Schizosaccharomyces pombe: one gene and its partner. The protein of the gene in region 2 binds, or shares a complex with, the protein of the main gene of each other region. Each region holds a gene or a part of one and is shown on either strand. Other genes may lie near its edges.

What was found. Proteins that work in one complex are often made in the same cells at the same time.
Region 1: ptf1 (region 2) and mst2 share a complex: the UniProt entries of both Schizosaccharomyces pombe proteins name them as parts of the mst2 complex.

What each region holds. Positions count from the first base shown.
Region 1 is NC_003424.3:2,364,845-2,368,444, reverse strand, and holds the start of mst2 (histone acetyltransferase Mst2), read left to right. Parts: upstream 1-1,510; 5' UTR 1,511-1,611; coding exon 1,612-2,064; exon of another isoform or gene 2,065-2,180; coding exon 2,181-2,270; exon of another isoform or gene 2,271-2,317; coding exon 2,318-2,998; 3' UTR 2,999-3,050; coding exon of another isoform or gene 3,051-3,600. Other genes in the region: protein kinase C (PKC)-like Pck1, read left to right, coding at 1-188, 244-445, 490-678, 720-903, 949-1,040; exocyst complex subunit Sec3, read right to left, coding at 3,051-3,600. UniProt on the Schizosaccharomyces pombe protein: Component of the mst2 complex which is a highly specific H3 lysine 14 (H3K14) acetyltransferase that functions together with gcn5 to regulate global levels of H3K14 acetylation (H3K14ac), critical for DNA damage checkpoint activation.
Region 2 is NC_003424.3:2,603,970-2,607,934, forward strand, and holds ptf1 (phosphoric monoester hydrolase), read left to right. Parts: upstream 1-2,182; 5' UTR 2,183-2,215; coding exon 2,216-2,258; exon of another isoform or gene 2,259-2,309; coding exon 2,310-2,348; intron 2,349-2,404; exon of another isoform or gene 2,405-2,571; coding exon 2,572-2,644; exon of another isoform or gene 2,645-2,685; coding exon 2,686-3,220; 3' UTR 3,221-3,445; downstream 3,446-3,965. Other genes in the region: protein She9, read right to left, coding at 290-1,243. UniProt on the Schizosaccharomyces pombe protein: Component of the mst2 complex which is a highly specific H3 lysine 14 (H3K14) acetyltransferase that functions together with gcn5 to regulate global levels of H3K14 acetylation (H3K14ac), critical for DNA damage checkpoint activation.

The DNA of each region.
Region 1 (3,600 bases), 240 kb from region 2:
GAACTAGAGAGTTTAAAAACTGAAAAGCATGTTTTCGAAGTCGCGAATAAAGAAAAACATCCGTTCTTGCTGAATCTTTTTGCAAGCTTTCAAACTAGTACCAGGGTTTACTTCGTTATGGAATATATTCTTGGTGGTGACCTTATGGTTCATATTCAACGTCAACAGTTTAGCGTGAAACGTGCAAGGTAGTACTTCAATCTTTATTTTTATTTTTATTTTTATTTTTTATTAACCCCATAGATTTTATGGTGCTGAGGTTTGTTTAGCATTGAAGTATTTTCATGAGAATGGAATTGCTTACCGTGATTTGAAATTGGATAATATTCTACTTTGTCCTGATGGTCATATACGAATTGCTGATTATGGACTCTGCAAAGAAAATATGTTGCTTGGCAATACAACTTCCACCTTTTGTGGTACCCCCGAATTCATGGCTCCAGAAGTAAGGCGGAACTTGTTTTGGTTTATTTTATCTAACGAAAATAGATTTTATTAGAACAGCAATATTCCAAGGATGTTGATTGGTGGGCTTTTGGCGTTTTGATGTATCAAATGTTACTGGGTCAATCCCCTTTCAAAGGTGAAGATGAAGAGGAAATATTCGATGCGATTTTAAGCGATGAACCGTTGTTTCCGATTAATATGCCAGCGGATGCGGTTTCGTTATTGAGAGGGGTATGCAAATTTCTAAATATGTTAACTAATTCAAAAAATAGCTTTTAACAAGAGATCCAAATCAACGACTTGGTAGTGGACCAAAAGACGCAAACGAGGTTATGGCTCATCCTTTCTTTGCTAGTATTGTCTGGGATGACTTGTATAACAAACTTTATGAACCATCATATAAACCGCTTATCAACGATCCCCGAGACCTCAATAATTTTGATGAAGAATTTACAAGTATGACAATTGTTAAAATATGGTTAATTACTAACGATCGATTAGGTGCATGTCCAACTTTGACACCTGTCAATACTGTTCTCACACGACAACAACAAGAGTGTTTCAGAGGATTTTCCAGTTTTGCTACTGAATAGAATTAGCTTGTCCTTTGCTTCTGCTTTTTTAAAATTAGAAAATTATGGTAACAATTTCATATAGTTCTGATGCTGCTTCCTTTGCATTCTTACACTTAATTTAGTGTACTCACCCTTTACATGATATTTTTTTTACTTTTCTACGTGTTCATATTTAAAAAATTTCTGCATTTATCATCATTACATTACTTGAAAATAAAGTCGAAATTAGAGAATAATTAAAGTGGCATTAAAACTACTAATGTAAAACTTATCGTTGAATCACCCAAGGTGACTTTGTAGTATTTATACGCAACGTTTGTAATGGCATTCAATCAAAAAGCTAACAGTGAAGTTATGAATGGTTACTGTTTCAGAATACAAAAGTAAAAAATATGAGTAGTTTTTTATTTAACAAGAGTGAAAGGGTTATCTTTGCAGAGATCGGATGGAGGTGGAAGTAAAGCAAGAACTAAGAAGAGAATGAGGGCACTACCACCAACTCAATTATATTGACCAAAGGATTAAATGGGGCCATTAGGAAAACTATGAACGATCTGTAAATATAAACAATCTTTTTTTTTTATGTATAATGCCGGCGACTATTTTGAAATCCACAGCCAGTTCAAAGACTTTGTTAATAATAAAGTTTGATACAAACTCCTCCAGATATCCATTTTATAAGAAACATTTATTAGAGTTAAATTCGGAAAGTACTTTTTTGGGTCTATTAACTAAAGGGCAAGCTGACACATCGATTACGAGACTCAACCAAGACGATGTGAGGCTGTTTGAAAAAGCAAAGACAGTAGCAGATAGGACAAAGGATGTGGCTTATTCATTTTCCGATCCTATTTTATCTACACAGTTGCGAACGCCTCCACCACAACCAACCTCCATTCGATACCTCTATTTTGGTACTTACCGGATAAAACCATGGTATACATCACCGTATCCAGAGGAGTATAGCTGTGCAAAAAATTTATATATATGCGAATCTTGTTTAAAGTATATGAACAGTGATCATGTACTACAAAGGCACAAGGTAAACAACTTTTCAAGTAAGATCATAATGTTATTCGCTATTGCTTGAGTTTAAACGAGGTGTACATTAAAAGATCATAATCTATCCAAATTGAATTTACGGACTAACATAATCAGATGAAATGCTCATGGAGTTATCCACCAGGAGATGAAATATATCGGGATAAGAATATATCAATTTTTGAAGTTGATGGTCAACGGCAACCGGTAAGTAATTTTTTATGCATTTTATACTTATTGATGTTTTTCCTTAGATATATTGTCAAAATTTATGTCTTCTAGCAAAGATGTTTCTTCATTCAAAAATGCTGTACTATGACGTTGAACCGTTTCTTTTCTATGTATTGACTGAATTTGATGGCCAAGAATGCAAAGTTATTGGATATTTCAGTAAAGAGAAACGCTCGGCTTCTGATTATAACGTTTCCTGTATATTAACATTACCCATTTACCAACGCCGAGGATATGGTGTCTTTTTGATTGATTTTAGTTATTTACTTACACAGGTAGAAGGTAAGCTTGGATCACCTGAAAAGCCACTTTCAGATTTAGGCCTCGTTACGTACCGAAGCTATTGGAAAATGAGAGTAGCCAAAGCTCTATTGGAAATCACAACACCGATTAGCATAAATGCTATCGCCAAATCAACATCTATGGTATGCGACGATGTTATATCCACATTGGAATCGTTATCTGTATTTAAGTATGATCCGCTCAAAAAGAAATATGTATTACAACTGAAACGGGATGAACTTGAGAATGTTTATAAAGCTTGGAATATCAAACACCCTCAAAGAGTAAATCCAAAACTTCTAAGATGGACGCCATATCTCGGAGAAGAGCAGATATCTAACCTTTTACTTAAAGAAAATATACTTATTCCTCTACCTCAAAAGCGTCTATTAGATAACTCTCATCATCTGGATTCCGTTTAGTTCAAATAAATAAGTATTTTAATCTTTCGATATTTGTCGTGAAGCATTTGTATCATCTACGGCTTGGTTGTTGCTCTATATTAATGACGCCATTTAATGCAGTAGACAACTCTAGGGAAAATAAGTTGATGGTTGAATTGATAGACTCACAACCTAAAGCACAATCTTGAAGTTGGCTCTTAATGTTTTGCAATTCGATTTCTTCTTCAGCAAGGTTTTCCACACTGCTTATGATAGCTCCATCAAACGAAAATTCTGTTTGTTTCAATACATCTTTTATAGTTGTACCTTCATTCCACTTCAAAGTGGAAAGACGAGAAATGCTTTGCTCCGGAATGTTTTTGAGGTTGATTTTTGAGTTAAGATCGTAAACTTTTTCAACAGAAGCTTGGTGCGGTTTAGTCGGAATGGAAGTAACAAGAGTTTTCTTGGCTTTTGGCTTGGAAGTGGTTTTTCTATTTTCAAAGCGCAAACTTTCAAAAAGGGGAAGAAGTTCATTTCCTATAGAAGGCTCGTCGTTTGGTGGTTCGATTTGTTTACCAGTCGAAGGAGTTGCCCGAACAGTTGGCTGACGGGACGGGTGCTTTGGAGGTAATTTAGGA
Region 2 (3,965 bases):
AAAATATGAAAATTAAATACAAAGAAAGAATGGAAGTAATGCATTATTTATTGTACGAAATAAGTTACTCAAGTCAAAATTATGATTAAGAATATTTCATTAATATTTTTTTTGGCAAAATGGAATTAGGTAGTTACACTTGGATTCTCTGATAAGGTTTCTTAGTTTGAATAAATGAAGATATACATCTGCTTTGCTCATAACGCAAATATCTGCTCTTTTTAAAACTTGTAATCTATAAAACCTTTACCATAAAATCTTGTAATTAACGATTGTTAATGTAAATAATTCAACGCTTGAATGCTAAACCAAACAAGTGAATAAAGGTGTAAATAATAACTCCACCGCCTACCGTAAATTTGGTCGCCAGAATAGACAGTTGACGATAAGTCAATTGAATGCGGTAGTCTGTAGACAAAAAGCGAGATAGGAAATATTTTAGCGAATCCAAAAAAGAGTGAAACGTATCGTAATTAATAGGAGGAAGAATTAAGGACGCAGAATTTTTGGGAAGGTTTTTATTGTCAATTTTCGGAGAAGTAAGCTCTAATGCTTGGCCGACAGCTTCACCTTTTTTATCAAGTTTCTCGGAAATCTTTTTCAGTTCATCATTTATTTCAAGTTCTCGTTCCTTGTCAATGTGATCCACAGCTTCACGAACCAACCGTTTCCTTTTCCTTGGTTCCAATATTAGTTGAACGACCACAAAAAGAACAACGTTAATTCCCATTAATCCCCATGTACCCCAGGTACTTGCTTGCCGGATTTTATCACTCCAAACTTGTTCTTCGTGGTATCTCGATAAAATCGAACGCACCAATCCATTTTGAGCTTCCTCTACCCGCCTTTCCGCTACATCCACATCTTCTTGAGCCTTAATTTCTTCTTCTTTGTTTGAATAATCATCACGGTATAGTTTAGTAAATCTTTCTAAATCAATAGTAGACCAGCTACTACGTCGTTGTAACAATTCGTTGACTTCACGTTGACTTGACGATCTTTTTTCAACCGCTTCAATATAACGCTTTCTTGCTTCAGCTGCAGATAATCTAAAATCACGGAGCTTTGTCTCCTGCTTTACAACCGCGTTCTTTAATGCCTCAATGGAGGAATAACCAGTTAATTCATTCAAGCGTTGACTCGCTTGGAGTATAGTCTGTTGAACTGATCCATTTCCTTTATTATAGATTTTGGGAAAGCGAGCAGCAAATCCCTTAATAGACTGAGAAAGTCGTTGCAACATACTTTCTTAATACTTATACATTACTGTTATATCCTTTCATGTCTTCATATAGTGAGTTAAACATAATGTACTGCTGCACCAGCCATAAAGCTGGTTTACGGAAATATTCATAAACAGCTTAGAATATGCTATTTATAGTTAGGTATCAGCAATACTATAATACGCTATAATACTTACGTTGCGTATCACTATATGTCACATGTCCTAATTAAATATCGTACTATGTATGATACGATATTGAGACTGATCTTAATGATAATCTATTAATATTTATATCATCTGAATACTATAAATAGAGCTACTGCTAAACCTCGTTCCTCAGTTCAGTTACAAGCTATACCAGTGATAGGTAACATTATAACCTTGTTAATACAATACCTACACTCAGTTGCTACTTATATTATCTGTGTATTGCGATATTATAGGTCACAAGGAAAACTCACCGCAGTTCTACGTATCATTAAAACGAATACGAAACTGCGTAGCTAACATTAGGATAAGCGAAACTCACGCTTGAGAGAATGTTGTAGATGTAAAAAGCATTTGAAATTTAAAAAGAAAAAACAAAAAAAAAAAAAATTACACTTCACTTTACAAGGCTTGGGCCACTTTTCTTAGGATTTATGGTAAAACGTACTGAGGATATCGTTTACCCCTTGCAGAAATATAGAATATCATTTCTTTTCTTTGATAAATATATGCTTTAAGTTAATTCAACCTCTACACTAATTTCGATTTTTAATCTGCAGCCCTTTAAAATAAAGAAGACTGTAAATTACTTTAAGAATTTCATTTTTTTGCATATAAAAGATAAAATATGACATTTATCATGACTCGAACAAACGACTGCTTGCTAATCACGGAATAAACAACAAACTTTATATCAGTGCTGGTAAGTTTCGTTACTTTAAATCCTAGAGTTGGATAGCTGTACAAAGCAAGCAATTTCAGCAATTCAAAAAGATTTGGACTATGGCTCAGAAAAAGCAGTTATACGTATTCAGTGACTTTGACGGTATGAAAAAATAATTTCAATAAAAACAGACAACTAACTTTTGGGGTCTAGGAACTATTACACTCCAGGATTCCAATGACTACTTAACTGGTAAGGTTGGGAATAGGAAGATTGTTACAGATATAAAAAGATGTATAAAGGTAGTTAGAAAATGTTCTTACAATTAAGCTTAACTGAATATTTATTGAAGATTTACGAAAATCTGTAAGAGAAATCTATGATTTTATAACATTGGGTCAAAAATTTCCCTGCCCACCTTGAATGCTTTATTACTGCAACACTCGACGGCGACGGTTTACTAACTATGTTTTAGACAACTTTGGAATGGGCAACGCCAACCGTGTGAATCTAAATCAACAAGTTCTTGACGGTTCCATTTCTTTTCGGTAAGCGTTTGACGCGTAAATCAACTCTTAACAATTCATAGTGATGCTTTCGCGAAGATGTTGGATTCAGTGCATTTAAGCTATGATGAAGCTTTGGAGGTTCTCAAGAAGAATGTCGCCATTGATCCATCATTTAAACCATTCTATGAATGGTGTAAGTCTCAAGACATTCGTGTAATCATCCTTTCAAGTGGTATGGAGCCTTTTATTCGTGCACTTTTTGAGCAATACCTTGGCAAAGAAGAAGCAAGTAGTATTGAAATTGTTTCTAATGACATCAATGTGCATCCTGATGGTCAATGGAACATTGTGTATCATGATGACAGTCATTTTGGACACGACAAAAGCCTTACTATCCGTCCGTATGCTCAATTGCCAGAAAGTAAACGTCCTCACATGGTCTATTGCGGAGATGGTGTTTCCGATTTGAGTGCTGCGAAGGAAACAGAACACTTGTTTGCCAAGAAAGGACGTGATTTAATTAAATATTGTGAAAGGGAGAAAATTTCTTTCTCTGAATTCGAAACCTTTGCTGATATCCATAAAGATTTGCAAAAATTATTCTTTAGCAGTTAAATCTGAATAATACCTAAGAAGTTTTCGTACTTCAACATTTTTATACCTAAAGTTGATAGATATTTGTTATCAGCGCCTCGAAACTTAGTTTCAAGCAGGTCCTCATAGCAATTTAAATGCATCATTCACCAACGGTTCGATTAGTTTGGGTTGTTAGAAGCAATGATTTAACATAATTTGTATTTATATACTCATCCATTTGCGAGTCTTGTATGAAAAATCCTATATCATATCAGTCCGTAAGTGGTCGCATTGCTACAATATCTCTTTATTTTTTTTAAGAAAGAAAATAAAGAGATATTAAATTTTGCGTCTTTTGGTCGTGAGATCGCCGAAATAAGGTAGCGAGTATAACATAATGTAGATCACGCATATTGTTATATTTTGGTTTGGTAAAGTTACTCAAAGTCAGGAAACTTGTAATGATGTTTTAAGGGGCTTGCAGAAAAAATTGCTATTACGAAATCCATGTCTGTAATATTTTGGTTATTAATAAATTGAAATAAAATTTAAAACATGAAATATTGTGACTTTATGTATCCTGTCTACTACCATACCTTTCAACCTTCATACAAATTTTCCCGTACTCGCATCATTTTCTTTCTTCACCTAACTCCCCACCGTGTCTGTAAAACATAATATTTCTCTTTCCCACATACGAACGAATAAATAATAAAATACAGTATATGTACAGTAAACGTACCTCAGACACCATTATTTTGTCAAGAAAGTGAATAAGCTTACA